Ovis aries: one gene and its partners. The protein of the gene in region 3 purifies or fractionates together with the protein of the main gene of each other region. This does not show direct contact. Links are inferred from orthologs where the notes say so. Each region holds a gene or a part of one and is shown on either strand. Other genes may lie near its edges.

What was found. The genes of interacting proteins can lie anywhere in the genome.
Region 1: the proteins of CCT8 (region 3) and PDCL3 purify together in Homo sapiens (affinity purification with mass spectrometry; 3 studies listed by BioGRID and IntAct, with this or other methods). This does not show direct contact. The link is inferred for Ovis aries from reciprocal best matches to the Homo sapiens genes CCT8 and PDCL3.
Region 2: the proteins of CCT8 (region 3) and TLE2 purify together in Homo sapiens (affinity purification with mass spectrometry; 3 studies listed by BioGRID and IntAct, with this or other methods). This does not show direct contact. The link is inferred for Ovis aries from reciprocal best matches to the Homo sapiens genes CCT8 and TLE2.

What each region holds. Positions count from the first base shown.
Region 1 is NC_056056.1:100,879,936-100,883,993, forward strand, and holds the start of PDCL3 (phosducin-like protein 3), read right to left. Parts: upstream 2,801-4,058; 5' UTR 2,735-2,800; coding exon 2,729-2,734; intron 1-2,728. UniProt on the Homo sapiens protein: Acts as a chaperone for the angiogenic VEGF receptor KDR/VEGFR2, increasing its abundance by inhibiting its ubiquitination and degradation.
Region 2 is NC_056058.1:18,546,743-18,550,778, forward strand, and holds the start of TLE2 (transducin-like enhancer protein 2), read left to right. Parts: upstream 1-1,236; 5' UTR 1,237-1,559; coding exon 1,560-1,583; intron 1,584-1,661; coding exon 1,662-1,759; intron 1,760-2,090; coding exon 2,091-2,154; intron 2,155-2,624; coding exon 2,625-2,669; intron 2,670-4,036.
Region 3 is NC_056054.1:127,698,958-127,703,037, forward strand, and holds the start of CCT8 (T-complex protein 1 subunit theta), read left to right. Parts: upstream 1-1,280; 5' UTR 1,281-1,339; coding exon 1,340-1,399; intron 1,400-3,325; coding exon 3,326-3,416; intron 3,417-4,080. UniProt on the Homo sapiens protein: Component of the chaperonin-containing T-complex (TRiC), a molecular chaperone complex that assists the folding of actin, tubulin and other proteins upon ATP hydrolysis.

The DNA of each region.
Region 1 (4,058 bases), on a different chromosome or scaffold from region 3:
AATGACTCGGAGTGATCTGTTCAACAGATATTTATTAAGTACCTACTATATGTAAATGGTTGTACTAGATAGTAGGGAAGCATGGTGAATGCCAAAGTCACCAGTTTTACAGGTAAGAGAAAGAAATAGGCAATGAGTAACTAAATACACAAAGAGATAGCATGACAAATGCAATGGCCAGGCTGCTGAGCTGGACTTCCAGGGGGCGTGCAGTCCACAAGATGGGCCAGGACGTTCTCTCAGGAGAGGTGACATTTAACTGTGACTGGAGGGTGAGAAGGAGCCAGACAGAGGAGCGAAAATTTAGGAAATGACTTTCCAGGCAGAAGGACCAGCCTGTGCCAAGGGCCCGAGTACAAGATATAGAGTATTCCAAAGTCCTGAGTGGCTGCAAGAAAATCAGAAGGAAGAGAGCCTGACTGATTCCCTAAAGGCCAAGGCTAAGAGGAAGAGCTGAGATGCCATGGAGAAGTTCACAATAGCTGATGCTTACTGAGTCCTACATGCCGGGGACACCACAAACTTCTTTGCCTGTACCTACCTAGTTAATCCTCACAAACTTGGGAGAGCCATGGCGTTAAGGAAGACACTGCCAGGCTGGAACAAGTCAAACTTACCAGGATCAACTATCAGAAAAAGAAATGCCAAGGTGGGCTCCTAGCTCCACAACACAGCTGCCCAAACCCTGGTTTGGCATGTCTTGGCAGGTCTGGAATATGAAACCAGGAAGCTGTGCGAAGAGCACTGGGATAACCAGGGTCTACCCTCAGTTCCCTGGGCAGTCCTGCTGAAATATGTCAAACAGAAACAAACAGAATCCCTTCCACAGGGTGGTCAGGAAGCCCTCTTAAGATATGACATTTTTGAGCAGGGGCAAAAAGGACAGAGAACACAGAGGCCAGGGCAGCTCTGAGTTTCCTCTTCATCAGATACGCTGTATTTGGAGACGATCATCCTCTCCAGCCCTGATGGGGAGGATTGGAAGGACTGATGATGAAGCTAAAGCTTCAATCCTTTGGCCACCTGATGCAAAGAGCTGACTCAATGGAAAAGACCCTGATGCTAGGAAAGACTGAGGGCAGGAGAAGGGGACAATAGAGCATGAGATGGTTGGATGGCAGCGGCTCAACAGACATGAGTTTGAGCAACCTCCGGGAGATGGTGAAGGACTGGGGAGCCTGGCCTGCTGCAGTCCATGGGGTCGCAAAGAGTCCAACATGACTGAGAGACTGAACACCAACAAACCTCTCCAGCCCCAATCAAACCCACACTAACTCCACTTCCCTTCTGCCACTGAGTCAGAGATGAGTTCATCAAAATTCCGAACCACAGGAGGATCTAGGAGGCAGGAGAATGACCTTTGGAGGAGGGTCCTTTAACAGTGACAAAACTGAATCATCAGAGATTTTCTCATAAAAGCATCCATTTCCACGGTGTCTTTTTTTCTTCACTTTTCCATCACTGCAGATGGTGATTGCAGCCATGAAACTAAAAGACGCGTACTCCTTGGAAGGAAAGTTATGACCAACCTAGATAGCATATTCAAAAGCAGAGACATTACTTTGCCAACAAAGGTCCGTCTAGTCAAGGTTATGGTTCTTCCAAGGTTATGGTCATGTATGGATGTGAGAGTTGGACTATAAAGAAAGTTGAGTGCTTAAGAACTGATGCTTTTCAACTGTGTTGTTGGAGAAGATTCTTAACAGTCCCTTGGACTTCAAGGAGATCCAACCAGTCCATCCTAAAGGAAATCAGTCCTGAATATTCATTGGAAGGACTGATATTGAAGCTGAAACTCCAATACTTTGGCCACCTGATGAGAAGAGCTGACTCATTTGAAAAGACTCTGATGTTGGGAAAGATTGAGGGCAGGAAGAGAAGGGGACGACAGAGGATGATATGGTTGGATGGCATCATCGACTCAGTGGACATGGGTTTGGGTGGATTCCGGGAGTTGGTGATGGACAGGGAGGCCTGGCGTACTGTGGTTCATGGGGTTGCAAAGAGTCGGACACGACTGAGCGACTGGACTGAACTGAACCATGGGTTTTTAGTCAAATTGCATTAATAAATTCCTGATACAATAAACGAACAAAATTGAGGGATTTGGTTTTATCCATTTTTAAAGGGAAAGTATTAATAACTGGGCAGCGGGACCCTCAGGCTGGACTCTAGGGTCCACAGGGGACGCACCTCAACCTGTACACCAACATTGGGAGGCAGAGAGGGAAGGATGTTGTAACCCCTCACTCAGCTCTAGGCAGGGTCAAGAACACGGGTTATGTTATGCGACCCCCTCAGGGGAGGACCCTCCAATTATCCGAGCCTCAGCTTCCGCATCCGTGAAGGGGGTTCATAACGCACCTGTTCAGGTGCTCGCTAAGAGAGTTAACAAGGAGGAAGTAACTGTCAGGTAAGATCCGCAGAGGCCTTCACAGGCCCAGGGCAGCCGACCTCCCGGAGAACTACCCTCAAAGATGAGATTCGGGGGTGGGACACACGGAGGGGAGCGTGCACGCCCAGCCCGCGGACATGCGAGACCACGCCCGCCCGTCCGCACTGCGCCTGCGCCGGCCTCGACTCGCGTGGCCACCCCGAGCCTGAGGCGCCCGGCACTTCCCACAGGCCCGGCAAGGACAGGCAGCCGCCCGCATGGACCGAGCGGGGCAAAACGAGCGGCCGCAGCCTCCAGGCGTCGAGCTCCCCACCCCACCCCCGGCTTGCTCACCTGCATTTTCTGTCAAATCGCTGGGGCCCTGCCGGCCACAGCCACCCGGCCCGTGAGCTCTCTACCGCGCACGCGCGCAGGCGCCACTCGCCTCCTCTCCCAGCCTGCCCTTCGCCCCGCCCTCCGGGAGAGGATAGGGCGGGGCCAGGGGAGGCGAGTTCTCCTCTGAGGCTGCGCCGGGGCAAGAGGCTGGACACGCCCACTCGCGTGACTCCGAGCTAATCCCGGCCGCTGCTCAACTGAACCTTATTAGGGCACATCTTCGGCCGCCGAATGGTGGGACAGAATCGGGGAGGTCCCCGGCAGCTAGGTGTCATCTCCAGGCACGGATCCGATGGTTTCGGAGGTCTCGGCCCAAGAAGTCAGAGATAGAAACCCGTTTCACTGATTCGTTGTTAAGATTCAAAAGGAGGCAGGATTACCTGGAATTCAGTCACTGTCCTTGAAGGACATAAAGCAGTTCGCCTACTACGTACTAAACACTATTCTAGGCTCTGCGGACGCGGCGGGAATCGCAACAAACGAAACCAGAAACGTGGACATCTCTTCACCTGGTTGAGCCTCAGGCGTTTCCTATTCGCAAGAGGACTTAGCCCTTTGCGGAGCGCAAGGGAGGCACTGAGTAGAAATATGCAAGTCTAAATTGAAAAATACAGGGGCTTCTGAAAAATACAGCCCTTCAGGCTTCTGTGTATGCAGCACTCCGAATTTGAGTTAAAGCAATGCCCCTCCCTGGACACCTGAGCTCGGTGGTGAAGTAGCAGACACAGAGAACGCAGCCAACACGTATGTAGAGTAGGCGGTTCAACTTCGGCTACATTAGAAGCACCTGTGGTTCGCTCAGTCTTGTCCCGCTCTTTGCAACCCCATGGACTGTAGCAGGCCAGGCTTCCCTGTCCTTCACTATCTGTGAGCCTTCTAAAACTGCCGCTACCCTGCGGTCCCATCCCCACATTACATTTCTAGCCATGGGACCTGGAACTGATGTTTTCTTTTTAAAATTTTTATTGGAGTATAGTTCATTTATAATGTTGTTTGCTTTCTGCTATAAAGCAAAGTGAATCAGTTACACATATATTCACTGTTTATAGATTATTTTCCCATATGAGCCACTACAGAGTATTAGTAGAGGTCCCCGTGCTGTATATTAGGTCCTTATTTGTTATCTGTTTTATACATGACATGACATTTTAGTCACTAAGCTGTGTCTGACTCTTTTGCAACGCCATGGACTGGAGCCTACCAGGATCCTCTGTCCATGGGATTTCTCAGGCAAGAATACTGCTTCACTATCTGCCATTTTCTTCTCCAGGGGATCTTCCTGACCCCT
Region 2 (4,036 bases), on a different chromosome or scaffold from region 3:
ACAACACACACATGTATCTTTATCCTTTATCTTTAGAATCTTCCTTCCTCCTTCCCATGACTCCCCATCTTTAGCCTTCATGCGTCAACCTCCTCCAAGAGGTTTCTCTCAGACACCCCAAATAAGTAGATTCCCTCTAATCTCCATAATTGCCCCCCTAAAGCCTCTTTGTACACACACACACTTTCATGATTTTCTAGCTACAATCTTGTTTTATCCACTGATCTCAGAGAAGGCAAGAAATCTGTTCTCCATCCATCCTGTATTCCGTCTGCCTAGAAGGAGGCCTGGTATGTCATAGGTGCTCAATAAATTCAACAGGGCTTTTGTATGCTTCTGCTTGCTCATCTACAGACACGGGTGCAGATATTAACACAAGGCCAGGGGTTTTCTCTGTTTGGTTCCCTGTTGAACTCCTGGGCCTGGAGCAGTGTCTGGTCCACACTAGGCTCTCCACACGTTTGTTGATTGACTTAACAAACGACCCTGAAGTTTCTCATGAGCAAAATGGGAATAAGAATGTCCTACCTCCCACCTCACTGGATATGTGCAGTCTGCAATGGGAGATGGAGTCCCACCTTGAGAGAGATCTCAGTCTGATGGCAGAAATCCGTATTTGTCGTCAGTGGGACCTCTGTTTTCTAGGAGCTCATGGTCTGAGAGCGGAGACAGCCAGGTCCACTGGTGTGGCCATGGGAACCCAACTCCCATCTCTGGAAGTTTACTCCGTTCCAGAGCAGGCTAAGGGCTGTTCCTGTGTGTGTAGTCGGAAAATAACCCCTGCTTTGACCATTTTACAGGTGGGAATACCGAATACCGAGGCCCAGTGAGGGTGGAGGGGCCTGGCTCTGCCCGCAAGCTCAACCCTTCTCTGATGATTTTGCAGGTTAGACTCTGTCCCTGCAGGCAGGTTCTCCAGCCAGCGCTTGGCAGGCTGTTTTCCCCATCCTTAAGTCTAAGCCCATTTCCTCAGAAAGACCATTTCAGGCCCCCTCCTGTCTTCCCCGCCCCAAGCTACCCTCACAGTGGGTCACTAGGTGTTTAACTGGTTTTTCTCTCTTGGGTCCTCGGGAGAGTGGGGAGTGGCGACGTTTGCGGGGCTGGACGGTAGCCTCAGTTTCCCTACTGGTCCCGGGTGGAAGGGAGGGGGTGGTCCCGGGGCCGCAGCGCGAGGGGCAGGCGGGCCGGGTGGGCGGGCCGGGGGCGGCGGCGCCACCTTAAGGCGGCTCTGCCCGCGGCTCCCGGCCGAGCCCCGCCGGAGGGAGGCGGCTCCGCGCGGGGCCCGCCGCCCGCGCCTCCGAAACCGGCCGCCGCTCGCCCGACCTTCTGCGCCGGTCGCGCGCCCCACGCCCGGCGGGGGCCTCGGCGCCCCTTGGTCCCCGCGACACCGCGCGCTCACTCGGGGGGCGGGGGAACTCCAGGGTCCCCTGCCCCACGCCGCTGCCCCTTCTTTCTCGGGCAGACCCCCCACCCCAGCCTCTCCCCCACCCCGCCTTCTCCTGGCCCCCCCAGATCGTCAAGCTCCGGAGTCGTGGCGGAGGGCCTCCCGGATCGGCAGGATGTACCCCCAGGGAAGGCACCCGGTGAGTGGGGGCCCAGGCTGCGGGGAGGTTGGGGGCGCCGGGCGTCCTGGAACTCAGACCTGGGCGTCCCCCCTCAAGACCCCGCTTCAGTCCGGCCAGCCCTTCAAGTTCTCGATCTTGGAGATCTGCGACCGCATCAAAGAAGAATTCCAGTTTCTTCAGGCTCAGTACCACAGGTAAGGGGTTGGGGACCGGGGCGCCCCTCCCCAGAGGCTCGCCTGGGGCAGAGGGGCGGGGTCACCAGCGTGCTGGGAGGACGGAGGGACCCCAGGGCGGAGAGGAGGGCTTCCAGGTAGAAGCGAAGGTGAGGAGGACAGCCTGTCCAGTGCTGGGACACTTGGAGCCTGGGAAAGGATGGGGCCGGCCTGGGAGCGGGAGTTGGGGGTGGGTGTGTGGAGGTGGGGAGAGCCAATCTCATCACTGTGGAAGCTGGCCCAGAAGGGGTCCGTGGGTGTCTCTGCTGGGGGGCAAGGAGGATGGAATCCCAATGTTCCGTCCCCTTCCCAGCCTCAAGCTGGAGTGTGAGAAGTTGGCCAGTGAGAAGACAGAAATGCAGCGACATTATGTCATGGTGAGGGGGTTGTCATACTGGGTGGGAGGCAGTGGGGAAGATGGCTTGTCTGTGAGTTGAAACATGATGGGCATGAACCCCAACTCCAGTACTGCTCTAGGACATGTCCCCAGCCGGCTGTGGGCCTCAGTTTCCCTCATCTGTAAAATAGGCTGCTTGGGGTTCCAGGCTGTCTGCCAGCTCTTGGAACAATAAATCAAGGATACCTCCTCTCCTCCTGGGCATCTCTGAGGGGCTGAGGTGACCCCACCCCCCTGGAGAGAATGGAGGGAGGAGAGTCTTGCTTTCTCCTCTGGGCTCCCTTTCTGGGCTCCCTTTCTGGGCCCCCTTTCTGGGCCCCCAAGGATCTGGGAGGCTCTGGGTCCTGCTGTGATCCCCTGAGTCTGGGGGCTGTTGGAAGACCCAGTCACCCAGTGCAGCTGGACATCCGTGGCTATGATGGACACTGCCAGACGGCCTTTCCTTTGCAGTACTATGAAATGTCCTACGGGCTCAACATCGAAATGCATAAGCAGGTAACTGTGTTGAGGGTAAGGGTGTCCAGTGGGAGGAGGGGGATCTGGAAGCTGTGAGAGGGACCCAGATCTCCAGCAGTCACAGGCCCAGGGAGCAGACATCTTATCCTGAAATCTCTGGGACTAGGGGCCAGATTTCAGCCTTGAAAATGAATTTCTGGAGATTTTGTCCAGGAGAGATGTGGGCAGCAGATAAGGGCCAGCTTCCTTGTAGTAGAGGCCAACAGCCAGGTCACGGAGCCTGGGGAGGGACTTCTGTCCTAAGAAGGGGACAAACAGATAGTCTTAGAGGTCCCTTTCAGCCCAATGTGTCTGACATCCGGAGATGGATCCTTAGGGTCTGAGATGGAACCCCTAGGTTCTGATGCCGTTTTGAAGGTTCTAAGATTAATGCTAATGATCCAAGGTTCTGAGACTGTCTTCTATGTCTGAGAGTGATCTCAGGGTTCTGAGTCATACCTGAAGGTTCTGAAATTGGCTCCATGTGCCCGAGATTAACCCCCAGATCCTGAGACTGACCTTAAGATTTTCTGATGGTTTCTAAAGGGGAGGTGAGAATTTTATCACAGAACCACCCATGCACCCAGATGTTTTCTAAGAGGACAAGAGGGACCTGGAGATTCTAAGGTTGATGGAATCTTGGGTTCTGTCCATCAGAATATTAGAATTAATCGGCAAAGCCTAGGGTCTTTCTGGTGGGTGGGAAGAAGTGAGGGTGAGCTGGGAGTGCCTTGAGGGAGCCTGCCTTGGCATGCTTTTCTGGGTCTCTGTGGGTTCTCCTGGGTCTGGTGTGGGTAGGAGGGGGCTTGTTTGCCTGCAGCATGGTGTGGTCCTATGGGTGCATGAAATAGACCTCTTTATGGGGTGGAGGGCAAGGTGTAGGGTCCCAACTCTGGGAGCCTGGTTCCACCCTCCTGGTAAGAGATGGAAGACACAGCCTCACCCAGGTGCATCCAGCAGCTCTGTAACTCAGGCAGGGGCAAAGCACAGACTGACAGAAAACCCCCTTCCCCACCCACTCACATGTTTCCCCTCTGTTCAGCCTCTATGGGGCACTCCCTGCCCAGCCCCAGTCCCAGATGAAACCTACAAGTAAAACCACACTATTTCTAACCCACTCTCTGACACGAAATGTGTGTGTTTTCGCTACACAGAACAGTTCTGGAAATCTGACACCAGCTGCGTGTCCCTATGCTTCAGTTCAACCCTAACGCACCTACCTGGTGCAAACCCCAGTGGTTCAGGGTTAGGATTAGGGCCCCACAGGACTGCCCCTGCCTCCTGGGTTTCTGACCCGCCAGCTATAAATCAGAGTTCCCATAACCCACTCCCTGGTCTGATGTTTTGCCAGAATGGCTCACAGAACT
Region 3 (4,080 bases):
CCTTTGAGGATCGCTGAATGTTTCCCAAAAGGTGGTTCACATACCAGTTGGTTAGAGATGCCTCGCAAAAATATTTTTTCATAATTATGCACTTAAGTGCTAATTAGAAAAAGTTATAGTACATGTAACACATTTGATTATTCCTTAAGACACACTAAATCTGTCCCGATTTAAGGAAAATAAATCATTTGCAAGTGTCTGACCAAGGAACAAAAGACAAGCCAAACGTTCTATTCAGTTGTCTATATTTTCTACTAGGAGAGTGGATTACTTTCACTGTGTGAAATTATTCTTTGAAGTATTCTGCCATTATTCAGTCTTTTGAAATCAGTCATGTGCTGATGTGGGATGACACAGAGGTCAGGTTTTAAAGGACTGTGGGAAAGTAAAAGGGGTTTATATTTCCAAGAAAAAGCAGGAAAGGGATTTTCCAGGTGTTCCAGTGGTTAAGACATCATGCTTCCACTGCAGGGGGGCGGGGTTCCACTCCTGGCGGGGGAAATAAGATCTCACATGCTTGTGGGGCGGCCAAAAAACAGAAGAAAAAAGAAAAGGAGGAAAGAGGAATACAGTTGCCTAACAACGTGCATTTTGCAATCTAATCTGGGTAGAAATCCTAGTTTTAACACTACTAGCGCTGTGATCTTGTACAAACTAAATTGTAAATTGCAAAGTAATTAATAAAAGATTGACCACTAGCTAAGATACCGCACATAAAGCAAATAACGGGGCCTGGCACATATGAGCACTCAGTACGTAGTTTTCCTTTCAGATTTTCATTTATCACCTTCAAGTCCCCAGAGCTGCTACAGGGCCCAAGTCTGAGCGCAAGTTCAACCACAGATTTGGAGGATGAAGGCAGATCCTCGGCCTCGGGAAAAAAGGGGTGCCCACCTGGCTGATATCGTGGGAAGCTCTGGAAGATTTACACGGAAGCTACTCTTGGAAGGAGTTGCAAAACTCAAGGACAAAACTGACAACATTCAAAAGTCCCCAGCACAGAGCCTATGAGTCTAAGCGAAGGGAACGACCTCCGGGAGCGAGCCACATCCGCCAGGCAGCCTACGCGTGCGTCGGCAGGAAGACAGAAGGCCCAGCCCGATCGAGCCACCCCATCGATCGACCAGCTCGAGAATCGTCAACTCAGTTCTGGCGGCGCTAACTGCTCCTTCTCGCGAGGCTTCACAGACTAGGCCGCCGGGGGAAAGGGCGGGACCGGCTGAAGAGAAAGGAGGGGCGTGAGCCGGCCGCACGCTACGTTCCCAGGAAGCTGTGCGCGCCTCTCGTTTCTTCCAGGATCTCCTGAGAGGGCGCGTGAACGGCACCCTGCAGACTGGTCATGGCCCTCCACGTCCCCAAGGCCCCGGGCTTTGCCCAGATGCTCAAGGAGGGAGCGAAGGTAAGAAAAGGAGGAAGAGGGAGTGAGGTGGGAGAGCCGCGGCGGCCGCAGTCAAGAAGAAAAGCCTACCAACGGGCCCGGCGTGCCCACCCGACATAGCGGTCGGAGGGAAAGAAGATTCCAGAAACGGAGGTGTTCTCTGGAGAGCTTGGCCGCGGAGGGCCCCGGGCATTTCGAGTTTTTTTTTTTAAATGAACCCGGGAGAGGGGGGCAAGCGGCCAGAAACGGCGAGTGGACGACGAGGCCGCAGGCGGCGCGTTTTTTGCTTTGTAGCCTTACAGGGTGTGAAGGCCGCTCTTTGCATTTTTCCTCCGTCAGTAAAACGGGAGTGAGGAGGCTCTCCTTTGAGGGGCGCGAAGTAGGTGAAATAACGTAGGTGAGGTTGCTTTGAGTACTGCGAAACGGTTCCAGGAGCGGGTGGTCCAGGGAGGAGAGGGACGAGGCAACTCTTGCAAATGAGAAACGGCGAGCTCCCCATTTAGTTAGCAGAAATAGTGCATTATAGGATAAATCTTAGTTACAATCCCAATGGGCTCTGTTCTGAACTTAGCCAGCTTGAGGTAAAACTTAATCCTCTGGGTCTTACTTTCCTCATCTTTCAGTTGGGGAGATTGGACGGAAATAGTTGTAACCAACAGAGTAAGTGACACCCTGAGCTAAGTAAAGCTTTTGTTTTATGGCGAGATCTTGAAAGTAATTTCAACAGCATGGTTTTTTGTTTGTTTTTTTAATGTCTTAGACACACTGCTGTAAGTGTGTCTCTTAGGTTCAAATAGTTGCGTTCCCTTATTGTCACCCAGACTTGCTGTGCTTAAACGAATGTAGATACTGTGGTTCCATTTGTGGTAACAGTTTGAGGGAACTAGGTTTCTTGTTGGCGAGGATGCACTTTGGGGATAACGTGACTCTAGTAGGTAAGGAGGTTTACTGTAAGTATTGGTGAAAGAGCTTTGCTGAAAATGACATGAACTAATTTTTTTTTAAAAGGGAAGTGGCCGTATTTTTTTTATTCTGAGGCAGAAATAAGTGACCAAATAAGCAGAAGGATAATTTCAAATAATGATAAAGGAAATTGAAAGTGCGCCTCTAAAAAAAAATTATAAAGGAAAGTTTGGGGTAGAACAGTAAATAAAATGTTAAGGAAAGAACTCAGCTCTGTGCTTAGTGGCCAAGATTAAAGGCAGAAATGTTTCAGGCTAAGGGACCAAACTCACTGAGGATGAAGTGAGTTTGACTTGTTAAAACAGTAAGAAAAAAGATGTTCACATGAACAGTAGGCTCTTGAAATTTATCTGAGACTCACAAGTAAATCCCATGTCTAAAAGAAGTTCATTGTAAAACTTGAAAATTTGAGTACTGTGAGCAGTTCAGTTTTCAGTGTATACACGTTGGAATTAATGTGTACAAACGAACAGTTTGTTTCAGTTCAAATGAGAATTCAAAATCTGTATGCTTTAGTTCTAAAAATGTATAAGGCAAATATGTTAATTCCCTTTGAACATAGACCTGTTGACTCTACAGTGCTCAGGTTTTATCACATTCATACCACATTTCGGCTTTTAGAAAGAATTGGTAGACTCTGGAAAGGTATTTTTATAATCTGCAATGGTTCATATGCTTTCTCTAATCAGGCTTAGCACTCTTCTCTGCACTTTTCACTAAACTAAAAAAAATTAAGCTTTATGTTTTGATGTGTAAGTAGGTACTCATGGTCCCTAAAAATGTCATGCCTTATTCATTCAACTTGTGGACAAATCTGTGAATTAGGATGGTATCTGGTATCATAGGAACACCAAACACCATGCTTTACATACATAAATCTCATTTGATAATGTCAACAGTCTTTTGAGACAGGTACTATTATTTTACAGATGAAGAAATTATTGAGATTCATTGTCCTGCCTAATCAGAAATTTTCTTCTACAGCATTTTTCAGGATTAGAAGAGGCTGTGTACAGGAACATACAGGCTTGCAAAGAGCTGGCCCAAACAACTCGTACAGCATATGGACCAAATGGTAATTTCTAAATTCATGTTTAAAAAAAAATACAGTACTATAATATAATTTTGTGTAGTAGTTCTTTGAAACTTGTTTGAGGATATTATATGTAAATTGAGAATTTTAGCCATAATACACTGTAGTGTTGAAAATCATTTCACAGTTCAGTAACTCCTGTACAGTTTTCCTAATCTTTAATCAGCAGTTTGGATCTTTTTAGAAAAGTTGTAATCAAAATGTTACTTTTTGTCCTATTGAGAGGATAGAAAAGTTATGGTGCTTTCACCTTTGAGGTAGTACCATTGTTACAGCTGTGGAATAGTTCTCTTAAGTAAAATGACATAATTTAAGGGAGAAAAATTCTCTCTTGCTTCCCATCAACTGAATTAATTGATACAAATTTATGGAATAAGCAAAACACACTTTCAAGTAAATAATTTTAGTCTTTGTACATGTCAATATAATTTAAGTTGATTGAAAAAATATGAAATTGGCAGGAAAGAAATAATAGGTGTGCAGGCAGGGGAAGCCATTGAGCTGTGGCTTTAAGAATAGGTAGTATGTTTTGAGTTCTTACAAAGTTATTTCAAGGAATGGATAGCAAATTTTTGTTTCTTCACTGGATTTTCTTTGGTGTCTGGAGAGGGGTTTGAGTGATGATGCATTTCTTTTTCTGACTATT